Arabidopsis thaliana: one gene and its partner. The protein of the gene in region 1 interacts with the protein of each later gene in a biochemical or structural test. Each region holds a gene or a part of one and is shown on either strand. Other genes may lie near its edges.

The links.
Region 2: the proteins of CBF1 (region 1) and HAG1 form a complex in vitro, tested with the Arabidopsis thaliana proteins (one study listed by BioGRID).

Annotation. Positions count from the first base shown.
Region 1 is NC_003075.7:13,019,706-13,026,614, forward strand, and holds CBF1 (C-repeat/DRE binding factor 1), read right to left. Parts: upstream 3,292-6,909; 5' UTR 2,858-3,291; coding exon 2,216-2,857; 3' UTR 2,075-2,215; downstream 1-2,074. Other genes in the region: RS40 (arginine/serine-rich splicing factor 35), read left to right, coding at 5,463-5,568, 6,351-6,463, 6,552-6,793, 6,867-6,909. UniProt on the Arabidopsis thaliana protein: Transcriptional activator that binds specifically to the DNA sequence 5'-[AG]CCGAC-3'. Binding to the C-repeat/DRE element mediates cold-inducible transcription. CBF/DREB1 factors play a key role in freezing tolerance and cold acclimation.
Region 2 is NC_003074.8:20,209,900-20,218,153, forward strand, and holds HAG1 (histone acetyltransferase of the GNAT family 1), read left to right. Parts: upstream 1-3,506; 5' UTR 3,507-3,693; coding exon 3,694-4,326; intron 4,327-4,413; coding exon 4,414-4,478; intron 4,479-4,587; coding exon 4,588-4,668; intron 4,669-4,767; coding exon 4,768-4,839; intron 4,840-5,083; coding exon 5,084-5,252; intron 5,253-5,522; coding exon 5,523-5,566; intron 5,567-5,811; coding exon 5,812-5,911; intron 5,912-6,310; coding exon 6,311-6,379; intron 6,380-6,463; coding exon 6,464-6,518; intron 6,519-6,747; coding exon 6,748-6,866; intron 6,867-6,975; coding exon 6,976-7,069; intron 7,070-7,181; coding exon 7,182-7,323; intron 7,324-7,412; coding exon 7,413-7,476; 3' UTR 7,477-7,754; downstream 7,755-8,254. Other genes in the region: DJ1F (Class I glutamine amidotransferase-like superfamily protein), read left to right, coding at 1,149-1,328, 1,559-2,032, 2,126-2,491, 2,798-2,977; BZIP25 (basic leucine zipper 25), read right to left, coding at 8,186-8,254.

The DNA of each region.
Region 1 (6,909 bases):
TGAATGATCAAATGTAACATTTTAGTGCTTTTTACGGTTGAATTAATAAACAGTTTGAAAAGTTATGAAATATGGTATTTTGGAAAATTTAACTAGAAGGGTAACAACATATTGTAACTTTAGGAAAACCCTAAATAGACTGCTAATTAAAATTCTCAATCATCATTATACATATAAAATAAATAATCAAATATTATTGGTTTAGAGTTATAAAAAATTGTTAATCACAAAAATGATGATTGAGAATTTAACAAAAAGTTGTTTTTTTAATATGTATAAAAAATTTAGAATTTAGATCAATTAGAAGCATGCAGTTGTAATTGTAGATCGGATCGCGAAACGAGTCTGAAACCTAATTTTGATCACATAAAAGTAGTTAATTATATTTAATATTTTCTACCATCATGCATTAACAAATGGTGGGGTGTGTTAGATTTATGAGACAAAATAGTAAAAGGTTTGAGTATATGACAAAAAGAAAATGTAATAAAAGAACATATTACATTAAGTTGATCACAATCTCAACGCCCTCTCTCTCACTCGAAACTCTTTTCTCTCTTTTCTCTCCAGCCAGCGCACTTCCTTCTCACTCAAAGAAGTTTCTCTTCTTCATGTATTCTCTCATTTCCTTCAACCACCACGTCCTTAGTCATATGATTCTCTATTCTTTAGCTACCTCTTCCCCACCTTCCCTTGACGAAAATTCTTGCATAATTCATAATTAGAAGAATTTCCTCCCAAGGTACTCGTGCTAACCCTTTTGATCACATACTTTCTTTTGATCACATACGTATTTATTTGACCCATTTGAATGTTCTACATCCATCATGATTTTTTTTGTTTTACGGTATGCAATCTAAAATCATGTGTTCTCCATCCATTCGCTACTGATTTAATCATTATCTGAGTTTTTCAACAAAAAGAACACAATTTATAAACATAGACAACCATGATTAGTTTCGGAAGTCAAAATAAAAAGCATGTTAATCAATTGTCTTTTATCTCGTATCCCCAATTTTACTTCTCAAAGTACTAAAATAGTCTAAAAACAATCATACGTACGTAATAAGAAAATAATTTACTTCCTGCTGTGTTTAAACAAAACTTCTATGAGATGTAAAAAAAGAAAAAGAGTCTACGATGGATGATCAAGCGTAATTGCTTTGTTACGTCTAAAAGGTGTTTAACAAAACTATAGCGCAGAAAATAATCAGTTTAATTAACTAAACAAAAACATGTTAGTGGATTAAGCCAAGAATTAGTCCGATAGAACTATAAAATCTACAAAATATCTCAAATCTCAATAATACGTATATAATATCTCAATAATACCTATATAATATCTCAACTCCAATCAGAAAGCTAAATAAAATATCAGCATAAGTTATATTCGCTTCCAAAAAAAGTCTGCCTCGTTACCTACCTCTCACACTCAAGTCTCTCACGTTATTTGAGATATTTAGGAGAAGCAAGACGACAACGAGAAGAAAAAAGAGTGGGTATGGTCAAGAAAAAGACAAATTATGATTTTAGTGGAAAATAGAAAGTAAAGAGTGAAGTGACGCGACACGTGGTACGAGACTCCACAGCGAGCCACGTAAGGGGGGACAAAGAAGAGAAGGTATGGACAATGGTTTCCGCGGTCGAGCCACGCTTTCAGAATTCTGATTGGCACTGGGTTATCTTGTGGAACCCATCTGAAAGATATTTTTGGTTGTCGTACGGATTTGTTTATTTCGGGTTTGTTGAATTAGTTTGTTTCGGTTTTATACACTATTTTAGGAAACTTTTTTTTATATTCTTTATAGTGAACTGGGCTGAATTTTTTTGGTTGCTAGATTCGAGACGAGCCAATTTATGTAATATTTTGTGGCTTTCTGTTGCTAAATTGTAAGATCTGTAACTTACATGAGATAGAATAAAATAATGTAATGCAGGTTTTGTGGCATATTTACAAACATCATCCACGTGTAATGATCTGTCCACATATTTTGCCTTGAAAGCAACTACAATATGACTTTTAATATCTTTTTTGTTAAATATTTGACTTTTAACTTATGTGAAGCAAAGAAGTAGAAAACGATTTGTTTTGTATTGAATTATTTTCCACTCGTTTCTACAACAATAAAATAAAATAAAATGAAGGAACCATTCTAAAAAAAGGAACTAGAATATTTTCAAACTATAGTACAAAAATGGAAACGACTATCGAATATTAGTAACTCCAAAGCGACACGTCACCATCTCCTTCGCCGTCATAATTATGATTCCATTGAACAGACGGCGGCGGTAAAAGCATGCCTTCAGCCATATTATCCAACAAAGTCGGCATCCCAAACATTGTCTCCTCATCCATATAAAACGCACCTTCGCTCTGTTCCGGTGTATAAATAGCTTCCACCATCGTCTCCTCCATGTCCAGGCCATGATTCGTGGTCGTCGTATCACACGTCTCATCTTGAAAAGCCAACGCCGCTTCAGCAGCCGCTTTTTGGATATCCTTGGCGCATGTTGACTCCGGGATTCGTAGCCGCCAAGCCGAGTCAGCGAAGTTGAGACATGCTGATCGGCCACGGAGGGCTAATGCAGCGACGTCGTGAGCACGAGCTGCCATCTCAGCGGTTTGGAAAGTCCCGAGCCAAATCCTGGTTTTCTTGTTTGGCTCTCTCACTTCAGAAACCCACTTACCGGAGTTTCTTTGACGAACTCCTCTGTAAATTGGGTGACGAGTCTCACGAAACTTCTTACGGCCCGCCGGTTTCTTCGGACAACTCGTGGCCAACGTCGGACAATAATCTCCGCCTTGAGGCTCGTAATCGGAGCCAAACATTTCAGAAAAAGCTGAAAATGAGTTCATTGATCAGAGTACTCTGTTTCAAGAAACTGGATAAGGTTTAAGTAGTACGTAGTTACTAGAGTTCTCAGTCTTTTTGGATTAATAAAAGATAGTATATCTGTCTTGGTAAAGCTATTTATATCTCTCTCTCTTTTTTTTCTTTTCAGGTAGATTCTTTTTCAAGTGTGTAGTTAGTATAAAAAGTGAGAGTGAGAATTGGTGTTTATATTGGCCGGAGGAGAGATAACGGATATGTGGGGAGCACACGGAGTTTTTGTCTCTGTGAATGACACGTGTATAGTACATAGCGAAGCAATCCCACGATGTTCCACTCGCTGTCTGACGTGTGTCCTTTGACCCTTGTAAAGAGACTTTTGACTCTTCACTCGTTAACCTTTATGAGTTCTTTAAATTCTATCGAGTGTGTGCCTGTGTGGTTGGCTGGCTGCTGTTGTTACAATCGTTTTTAAATTCCTATGAATAAACAAATTGTCATTAATTGTCACCCGTCTATAACATAATAGACATAAATATCTCTGTGAAATGATATTTTAAATACTCATGTAGTATTTGTATTGGAAGTAGATGTCCTAATATTTAACCAAAAATAATACTACAATATAGAAAAGCTTGATTTTTTAAAAAAATTAATCAGATTTGGTAATGGATAATTATCAATTTCGATGGACGGTTAAAAATGAGTCATAAATGCATATGATGAACAAAATTATTCAGTTTAAACAAACTATAACCAAAAACATGTAAATGGACCAGGACAGGACTAAGCGAAGGATTAGACCAATACAAAATAGCAAGTTATCTTGAATCCCAATAATTCCCACAAAATATCTCAATCTCAATAATAGCTATATTGTATTGACAAAAAAAAGGTATAAAAAATCTTCACAATAAGATATGCATGAAATATATTCGCTGACAAAAATATCTCTCTCGTTACCTCTCGCTCTCACGTTATTGACATTTAGGAGAAAAGAAGACACAACAAAGAGGGAAAAAAAGAGTGGTAAGGTGAAGAAAACAACAAAATTGGCTTTAGTGGAAAATAGAAAGTAAAGCTTGAGAGTGACGTATGGGGCCAGTGAAGGCTGGTGGGGAAGGTAGGGACAGTGTTTCCGCGGCCGAACCACGGGTTTAGAGGATTTTGACGTCCCCACGCATTATCTTGTGGAACCCATCTTTCTGTTTTTGGAAAATCGTACGGACGTTCGTTTTTGAATTATTTGCTGAATCGGGTTGTTTGGGTTTCTACTCTGTTTTGGGATTCTTCAGTGGATTGGACTGGATCTTTTGTAGCTTTTTGTTGGTAGATTTGAGACGCCTCTATTTTATGAATATCTTAATAGCTTTTTGTTGCATATTCAAGCGAGATAAGAAGATAATTGAGGCTTTATGGCATATTTGAAAAGTCGAAACTCGTTCTCATTCCACGTGTGATGATATGTTCGTGGCCACATATCATTCGGCCTTGAAAGCAACTACTAAACTCTTAACATAAGTGAAGCAATCCAATGAAGAGGAAAACAATTTATTTAATTAATTGTAATATATAAATATACACATTTCTTTATAACAACAATTATTAAACTTACTAACAAACTCATATGTTTCATCGAATCCAAAACTTGACATGTGGGATCTTGAGAGTGTTAAGTTGCAAGACTTTTTAAAAACTTGTATGCATTATTCATTGTGTAGATGTTATGTGATACATGTTCTAGTTCTATTAATCAGTATATTCTAATCAAAATTAAAAAATCTAATATTTGTTTGTCTTCATAATCTGTTATTGTTTTGTTTTTTTAGAAAGCAGCTTCAATTTTGTTTACTTGTTGGGCTTCTTATAATTTGTTTAACATATAGGCCCAATACTCCTAAAAAGTAGACGTTCTCGACTTCTCGTCCTTCAGACAAAATAAGAAAGTCAAAATGTGTTCTGAAAAAAATATCTTTGAAACTAAAAAGAAAAGAAAATAAAATAAAAATCCAAATGATCTCTCTTGCCTTCTTTATCTAAATCGTACCTAACTCTGTTTTCAGTTTCACCTATCTCTCGACGCGAGCTTCTTCTTCTTCTAGGGCTTCCACGCGACTACGCCTGCCAAAATCATTCTACAGGTAAATTGATGCAGTTTATTCACTCTCTATATCGTCGTGGTTCTCATCTCCTTCTTCCTTCTTTTTTTTTTGGTTGGTGAAAAGTAGAACAAGAGAATTGGTCCATCTCGTTTTTTATAAGTTGAATCTCATCAGAGCCTTCTTTGTTTTTCTGGTATGAAAGATTCATGCTTTCGTGGATTGTTCTCGTTTTCTCTATCTTGTGAATGATATTCAGATCTAACTGTAGTTAGATTAGATCTGTTGCATTGTACTTTTGATTCTAATACTGTCTAGTTCAGTTCCTAGATTTAACTGATTTGGAGCTCGAATAGATGAGTTTCAAGTCCTAATTTACTGCAAAACAATTCGATTTAGTGTGAGGGCTCTAGTTTTTAGTGTTAAAAGTTTTCATCTTGGTGACAAATTAGTTGTGATATTCGTGTTTAAATTATCATTTAAGGAAGTCTCATGAATCTTTTTTACTATTGTGGTTGTCTATACAGGAAGCATGAAGCCAGTCTTCTGTGGGAACTTTGAGTATGATGCGCGCGAAGGTGACCTGGAACGACTATTCAGGAAATACGGCAAGGTTGAGAGGGTTGATATGAAAGCTGGTGAGCCTTTTTTTTCTTTCTTTCTTTCTTCTGCCTCTTACTACTCTGTCTTTGTGGTTAACCTGAATGAATTATAATAAGCAGTATTGTTATCCACTAAGTACAATGAAAAAGCGAAATTCAAATGCATTTCATGAAATCCACTCTCGTCTTCATTCCATCCACGAGAAGGCTCTGGTGGACTATCTCCCTTTGGAAGGAGTACTAAACATTGACCACATTCACCTGGCCACCTGATGCAGCCTGCTTGAACTTTGGAAAGTACTTCAGAGGAATAAGATTTTTAGAAAAAAAATTAGTGTAAAACCGCATTTTCTTTGACGCAGGATGTGTTTGATAATCTTGGGACGCCTATACTCACACCTGGCCATGAATGGACCATAGGGAAATCCATCTCTTATCCCTCAAAATCAGTCACTTTCCATCCGCATTAGCACTGCCATCTTAATTGCATTTCATTCCTCATCACTTTGCACACTTGGACATGCCTCTGCAATGGAGAAGGCTCTCTATTTTCATTCATATCCCCGTCTGACTTCCACATTTTCAGTTGTTCCTTGACATATTAATTCCATAATGCAAGGTCTGTAACTGCTTCACTGGTCATTTGGAGTTTTTTTAAGGTTCTAGGAATGTTCAAAATTTAATATGTTCTAGGAGTTAAGTTAGGCGTTGAAGGAGGGAGGACAGTGTTCGTGTATGTTGAAGGTTCTTAATCTGGTCCACTTCCTCACTGTTAATGTACTCAGATCTTTGCTTTTGGCTTTTTCTTTTTTCTCCAGGGTTTGCTTTTGTATACATGGAAGATGAAAGGGATGCGGAAGATGCCATCCGAGCACTTGACCGCTTTGAATTTGGGCGTAAGGGACGCAGACTTCGTGTTGAATGGACAAAGGTAGGATACTTACCCCAGGATTTATTTCTTTCCAGACTTAGTTATGAGGTTTGAAATACTGATAACATAAATGGTTCTGTGTATATAGAGTGAACGTGGAGGTGATAAAAGATCTGGTGGTGGTTCAAGGAGATCCTCATCCAGCATGAGACCTTCCAAGACTCTCTTTGTGATTAACTTTGATGCGGATAATACTAGGACCCGGGATCTAGAGAAACACTTTGAGCCGTATGGAAAGATCGTAAACGTTAGGATCAGGAGGAATTTTGCATTTATCCAGTACGAGGCACAAGAGGATGCCACCAGAGCATTGGATGCTTCAAATAACAGGTTTGTTCTGTCCATTTTAGTATCTAATCACTTTCCTTTCTTAGACTCACGTTTCATCTGTGTTTTCATTCAGTAAGCTGATGGATAAGGTGATCTCGGTGGAGTATGCTGTGAAG
Region 2 (8,254 bases), on another chromosome or scaffold:
TTTTCCCCTCTTTTTTTTATTTATGATAAGGTTTCTACGTTAGTAACTCTTATATATATGTTTTGACTGTTACACACTTGTGGAATCATGATGGCTGGATTGGTGATTCGACCATTTTGACATTGAAAACCGGTCTCCCTCCAATTACCTTGAAGCGTTATGCAATAAGTGTAAATGTCTGCTTTCGAATGGTTTTAGCAGTCCATGAGGCTAATCGACCCAACCCAACTCATAGACTATAGAGTTACATCATTTCCGTTGCATGTCTCTTGTGACACAAAGAACTAAACAAGATAAGAGAGAATTAGAGAAGCTATAAAACATAAAATCACTACATGTCACATTTATCATTTACTATGTTGAATATTTTTACCGTTCAATTTAAAGAAATCCAACAATATGCTTAAAATAATTTTTTTGATTAATGTTTCCAAATTCTATATGTTCTTTTAATCATATGGTAATTGATTATTTTCGACCATTCTGATAAAGTTTGGAGTACACTGTATTTTTTTTTAAAAATAGAAGAAATGTATATATAAATTAACTAAGAATATATTAAGTTTTATTGTTTTAATAAAGTAGTTTCATTGCTGCATGCACTCTGCCATTTACATAAAATGCAAGCCTTGTAATTTACTTTTCTTCATTAATTGTTTAAGATTTGTTTTCAATTTTAATTTTGTTAAGAAAACAAATCTTAATACGTTTTTTTATTTTGCTGGCTCTGAGGCAACAAACTTTTTTTACAATTACTTCTTTGTCATCCCCACTTAATCTGGCCTTACCGTTTTTATTTGGCTTCCCGGGTTATGCATAAGAAGATGTCAAGTAGGTGAGAGGTTGGTGTGCGTAGGGAATTTGCAATTAACACGTGTTTATTTTAACTCTCTTCAATTTTAAATGGTGAGAGTAGACGTAGCAAACTAGTCTAATCGCGAACTAAACCACTTTATATTTTTTGAACGAAATAGAAATTGTTGTAGTTTTCTATAAATTATTTTTTAATAATCTCCAAATAGAGCAACGTATCCACTTATATATATAACCTTATCTCTTTTTTTATTGGAGAAAAAAAAAGTACACTGTGATAATTTGAACTCATATATATACACACTAGTTGTGTGTGCTTGTCTTAAGAAAAAACAATGGGATCAATGGCTCAGAAATCGGTTTTGATGTTATGCGGAGAGTTCATGGAAGCCTACGAGACTATAGTACCTCTCTACGTCCTCCAAGCGTTTGGTGTTAGCGTCCACTGCGTTTCTCCTGGTCGCAAAACTGGCGACAAGTGCGTCATGGCCGCTCACGATCTCCTTGGCCTCGAGGCATTTCTCGAATCTTTCACTTTTTCTTCATTTCAGTTTTTTTCCCTTGCAATCGTTCTTTGCATATTTAGTAAAACAATGCGATCAAATGCTCATAATTGGGTGGACTTTCCCCTTTATTATCTTTATCCAAAAAGTTTAGATAATTGGGTGGTCTCAACCCAAAATGCATGGGCCTACTCTTAACAGTAAAAAAGAAGAGTTTCAATTTGACTTTTACCTTTTTACAGATATACACCGAACTGGTGGTTGACCATCTAACACTAAACGCTAACTTCGATGGCGTCATCCCCGACCAATACGACGCCATCATCATTCCCGGTGGACGTTTCACGGAACTTTTGAGCGCCGACGAGAAATGCGTGAGTCTTGTTGCTAGATTCGCCGAACTCAAGAAGCTCATCTTCACGAGCTGCCACAGCCAGCTGTTTCTTGCGGCGGCAGGTCTGCTCACCGGTGGAATGAAGTGCACGGCGTTCGAAAGCATGAAACCGTTTATCGAGCTCTCCGGCGGCGCATGGTGGCAACAGCCTGGAGTCCAGACCCTTTTCGAAATCACTGATTGTGTCAAGGACGGCAGTTTCATGTCCACTATGGGGTGGCCAACGCTTGGCCATAGTCTCAAAGTTTTGTTAGAATCACTTGGCTCCAAGATTTCTAGCTCTAAAGAGAATCATCAGACTTCTTTGCTTTTCTTGATTGGGGTAAGTAGCTTATTTTCATAAGACTCTCTTTTAGACTTTATATATTGGAATTAAAAAAATGGTCTGACTAATACGTAATTTTGGTATATTTAGGATTGTGTTGAAGATTATAGTATCAACGTACCATTTAAAGCGTTTCAAGCTTTGGGATGTAAAGTGGATGCAGTGACGCCAACCAAGAAGAGAGGTGAGAAATGCGCTACAATCGTACACGACCTTGAAGACGGACGGCAACTTCCTACTGAGAAGTTTGGTCACAACTTCTATGTGACCGTTGCGTGGGATGATGTCTCTGTGGATGATTACGACTGCATTGTGGTTCCCGGAGGAAGATCTCCGGAGCTCTTGGTGATGAACCCCAAGGCCGTCGAATTGGTCAGAAAGTTTGTTGAGAAAGGCAAGTTTGTTGCTGCCATTGGAATGGGAAATTGGCTACTTGCCGCCACAGGCGCCCTTAAGGTAATATACACCGTTTTACAAAAATTCGTTTTACTATTCTAAAGACTTAAAAGTTAAAACTGAAGCCGAACCAAACCATATTTTAATTTAAACGAAACAAAAATGTCAAGATAAGTTGCTCTAAGCACATAGGAATCTCCTATGGTTATGGTTATGACTAATATTATTCCAGCATATTGTTGAAGGTTAGTAAGATATAATTCATCACATTTATGGCACCACTTCCTTAGCATAGATTATAATTTTTGCCAGCTTGTTATAACTCATCTAATTCCCATTGTGGCATGCTATATTATTACATTGCAGAAGAAGAGATGTGCAAGTAGTTATGGGACAAAGGTGGCTGTGAAGGTTGCTGGTGGTGAGATCGTGGAATCTGAACGGTGCGTGACCGACGACAAGCTGGTCACAGCCGCATCAACTTCCGATCTTCCTGCCTTTTTGTATGCATTGTCGACTGCACTTGGTCTCTCTGTTGTATTCTAATGTCAAGTGGTGCTTTAACGTCTAATGCCTAAAAAAATAAAAACATATCTTTGTATGTCGAAATATAAGGTCGTCCCTCTAATTATTTATGTACAAGCTTGGATTTGCATATATATATGGGAAGAAGAGTTGCCACACTTGCTTACACCTCTTCTAATTGTGTTTTTTTATAAGAAATTACCACTATCAAGTTGTCATTCTCCTCGTTTTACATTTGGTAAACAAGCTCTATTGACCATTTATGTTGTAACACTACTTCAAGACTAAAGTTGATTAGAGATAGCAAAATCTGTCACCAGCAAATTGTGTTTCCTTGTTAAATACTAGTAACAGATTCCAAACACATTAAATTTTGTGAAGTTAAATTTAACAACATACTATAAAATAAAACAACACATAAACGGATTAAAGACGTTAATGTTCATCCAAAAAGTATACTGAACTTTTAAATAATTTACCGACGAATTGTACTGTTTATATCCGACCAATATAGTTAATCACATTTTAATCACTGCATAAATTTACTCATAGGAATTACAATTACCGAATTAGTTTCGGTTTAAAATTTGTTGGATCAATAAAACAAAAAAAAAAAAACGATGCCAGAATATTCCGTTCGTCGGCGTAGTCTTTCCCGCCCCCAAATTATCTGAGCAAAAACCCTAGACTCTCGATTTCGTCACGATTTTCTCAATCACCTTCACTATACTGCTTCGATGGACTCTCACTCTTCCCACCTCAACGCCGCCAATCGTTCCCGCAGTTCTCAGACTCCTTCTCCTTCTCATTCCGCCTCCGCCTCCGTCACTTCTTCTCTCCACAAACGCAAACTCGCCGCCACCACGGCAGCGAATGCAGCCGCTTCTGAAGATCACGCCCCTCCTTCTTCCTCTTTCCCTCCTTCCTCCTTCTCTGCCGATACTCGCGACGGCGCTTTAACCTCCAACGATGAACTCGAGAGCATCTCCGCTCGCGGCGCCGATACAGATTCAGATCCTGATGAATCAGAGGATATAGTCGTGGATGATGACGAGGACGAATTTGCTCCTGAACAGGACCAGGACTCTTCTATCCGCACATTCACCGCCGCTCGACTCGATTCCAGCTCTGGAGTCAACGGTTCGAGTCGCAACACTAAACTTAAGACGGAAAGCTCCACGGTGAAGCTTGAGAGCTCTGATGGTGGAAAAGATGGTGGATCATCTGTGGTTGGGACTGGTGTGAGTGGCACTGTTGGAGGAAGCTCAATCTCAGGGCTCGTGCCAAAGGATGAGTCTGTTAAGGTATTGGCTGAGAATTTCCAGACTAGCGGAGCTTACATTGCCAGAGAAGAGGCTTTGAAAAGAGAGGTAGCTTATCACTGGATCTATGCTAATGAATTACTAGATGAGTTCAGAGAATCGCCATTGACAAATTTGGTGATATCTTTCATTTAGGAGCAAGCAGGACGACTCAAATTTGTTTGTTACTCAAATGATTCCATTGATGAGCATATGATGTGGTAATGCCTTCCATCATTTGTCTCCTGCCATTGAATTTAGCTTCTAATCAGCTATGCATTCTTCGTTCTAACCTCGTTTTTTATGAATAATTTGTTGAATGTATTCCAGCTTGATTGGGTTGAAGAACATTTTTGCAAGACAGTTACCTAATATGCCCAAGGAGTACATTGTTCGTCTTCTGATGGATAGGTAAACATGCTAAACTAAAGTGAAACATTGACAATTTTTGTAACAAACAATCGCAAATGGTAAGCATTCTAATATCTGTAACTTATGTTATTTGCCCAGGAAACATAAGTCTGTTATGGTACTAAGAGGGAATCTAGTTGTAGGTGGTATCACGTATCGTCCATATCACAGGTAAGGTTTTCGCATAACTCTTCCCATCTTTTGACCCAGTGATGATTTTCTCCACCATATGTATGTGAATACGCTTATACAGCTTTTTGCTGTTTAGAGAGTAGCATGTTGACTTGTTATCTTATATTATCATCAAACACAGCTTACTTTTCCTATAGAATATTTCTGAAACTGTCTGATGTCATAATGAGCATGAATACAGTCTTGACATGCTTATTAACTCCATTGTTTCCCTGGGATTCAGTCAGAAGTTTGGGGAAATAGCATTTTGTGCAATCACAGCAGATGAACAAGTAAAAGGTTACGGTACCAGATTGATGAACCACTTGAAACAACATGCACGTGATGTTGATGGATTGACGCATTTTCTTACTTATGCTGACAACAATGCTGTTGGTTACTTCGTCAAGCAGGTTGGTGTTTCGTATATTGTGCAATTTTTTGCTCTATTTTTAATCTCTCAACAAACTTCGACCAACTGTAGTACATTCCAGAAAAGTAGTTGAACTGTGTTTTGGATGTAATGTTTTCTATTGGTTAATAGGAGATACCTCAGAGTTTCACTTCTAAAAGTTCTGTTTCCACACTTAGCTATCAAGTCTACTTTCTGGATTCTAACTGTAATTTTTATATTCTTACAGTCGTCCACTAAGTTGATCTGTTACGTCTATTATCTTGTGCAGGGTTTTACTAAAGAGATTTACTTGGAGAAAGATGTATGGCATGGGTATGGAAACTATGTATCTCTTAAGTTCAAACTGCTCATTTACCATTCTTAACTTCTGTGCTTTATCTGTATGATGTCTAACTTAAATATTTGTTGGCCCAATTAAGCTCACAAACCTTAGAATACAAGCATTTTATTGCGTGGCTGATTATGCTACGAGAGAGCTATTTAAAACTTGTCTTTATCATTCTCTTCTTCATCTTGAAACTTACTTTTGCAAATAAAAACCTTTGAAATTTTCTTAGGTTCATTAAAGACTATGATGGTGGTCTCCTTATGGAATGCAAAATTGATCCAAAGCTGCCATATACGGATTTGTCAAGCATGATACGCCAGCAAAGAAAGGTAAGCCTTTGAAAATACCTTTTATGTGGTGAAAAAATATCTCGAGCCTTCAGGTTCATCTATACCCAAATAGTTCTTCAGGTTACGAAGCTATTTGTTTACTTTCTTTACTTTCACTATTTAACTCTAGCATTATGGCTGATTCTGAAAAAAATTAAAAACATAAGAAATACAAACTTGAGGATTCGATTATTGAAAGTTCCTCTCTTCTCTCTCTCGAGGAATTAATTAATGGAAATTCCTGTCTTCCCCTATGAGCCCAAAAATCAAGCTGCCCTCCCAAAAGCTATCTGCTTTCAAGAGAGCATAGCAACGTAACACTAAACGAGTAACCATTGTTACATTTCTGTCTAATTATACGTATCAGTTTCTGATCCGGTTGTACTTTTATAATATCAGGCAATTGATGAAAGGATAAGAGAGTTATCAAACTGTCAGAATGTGTATCCAAAAATTGAGTTTCTAAAGGTAAACATCAATGGTTTCATGTCTTGTGGCTATTATTGTATACAATGTTTCCAGTAGTAATAATAAATGAGATGATTTTTGCAGAATGAAGCTGGAATTCCTAGAAAGATTATCAAAGTTGAGGAAATACGTGGCTTAAGTAAGTTATGATTCTACTTGATGGTGTTATTGCAGTTTCTTACCCAAAATATAGACATATCTCCCTTTAAAATGTTCTAGTCATCTCAAAATTAAGATTGTGCTAGTCGCTCCATGAGATCAAGTTGATATGCATGTTTGAGATTCTCCTGCATTTGTTAGCTGTGGGCTAAGGGTTTATCTGTAATACATGAATTGGCTAATTCATGAATTATGGTATACTGTTGCAGGGGAAGCTGGTTGGACCCCAGATCAGTGGGGGCACACTCGTTTCAAATTATTCAATGGTTCTGCTGATATGGTGACAAATCAAAAACAGTTGAATGCACTCATGCGTGCGCTTTTAAAGGTTGTGATAAATCTTTTTTGTTTTGTTATTAATTATTATGTCCTCTTACATATTATGTTATTGCAATTACATGCCCTTTAATTTGACAAGCTGTAGTTAATTGCTACAGACAATGCAAGACCATGCTGATGCTTGGCCTTTCAAAGAACCAGTGGATTCTCGCGATGTCCCTGATTACTATGACATCATTAAGGATCCCATTGGTAAGAAGATATAGTTAAAATATCAATTTCGCTATTAATTATCCAGAATTTGTCCTCTTTTTAAGTAGAAGTGTTAAATCACTTTGGTAACCAAAAAATGGTTTGAACACAGATCTGAAGGTAATTGCAAAGAGGGTAGAGTCGGAACAGTATTACGTGACATTGGATATGTTTGTTGCGGATGCGAGACGGATGTTTAACAATTGTAGAACTTACAACTCCCCCGATACCATTTATTACAAATGTGCAACCAGGTAAGACGTTTTTTTCTTTCATTTCATTTCTTCTCTTCTTATTCAGTAATGAAATAGTGCATTTACTTTGTTTTTCTTTCTCTTAAAAGGTTGGAAACACACTTCCATAGCAAAGTACAAGCAGGTCTCCAATCTGGTGCTAAATCTCAATAGAAGAAGATGGTAGAGGTTATATTAATATCATTTTCTAGATCTTTCATTTTAAGATACTTTCATTGGAACTGGGAATACATGTATACTATTTTAGGCCCATGTATACTGGAGCTTAATTGTTTGTATGTTTTTTTTTCGGATAGGTAAATATTTGATTTAGTTAGATTCAGAATGTTTAAGTTTTTACTTTGTAGGTTAAATTTGTTCTATAAAGCTTATTTCCAACTGTAAAGACACATTTCATTTTACTAAATGTTTCTGATGAAAATCACATAACCAAATTTTGATATCGAACGGGATCACCAGTTTCGGTGGTTTTGATCGGATCAACAATGGTGAAGAGAATGAGCGTCATGGGTCATTTGTGTTTACACGCTTACACTCACGCTTACGCTGCACAGATTTCTTTAATCTGATGAATGTGAGTTGTTGTTGCTCAACATTTCGTTAAAACGGTTACGTTTGCCATAAGTAACTATTGATACATTTGTGTTTATACGCTTACGCTGCTGCACATGTTTACGTGATTACGTCTACGACCATTTCAACTTCGATTTGCCTTAGAAGCACGATAGCTTATACATTCTTCCATCATGTCCAATCATATATATAATATTAAGAGTTTACCGTCGCTGAGTCATACAGTAAATAAAAATACAGACAATAGTTACCTCAATCAAAATCACAAAACCAATGACTCTTTTTCTGGTTAATGCTTGTGATTCCAATGGGGTAGGGTTTCATACAGATTAGAATCAGGAGCAAATGGATTCTGCAT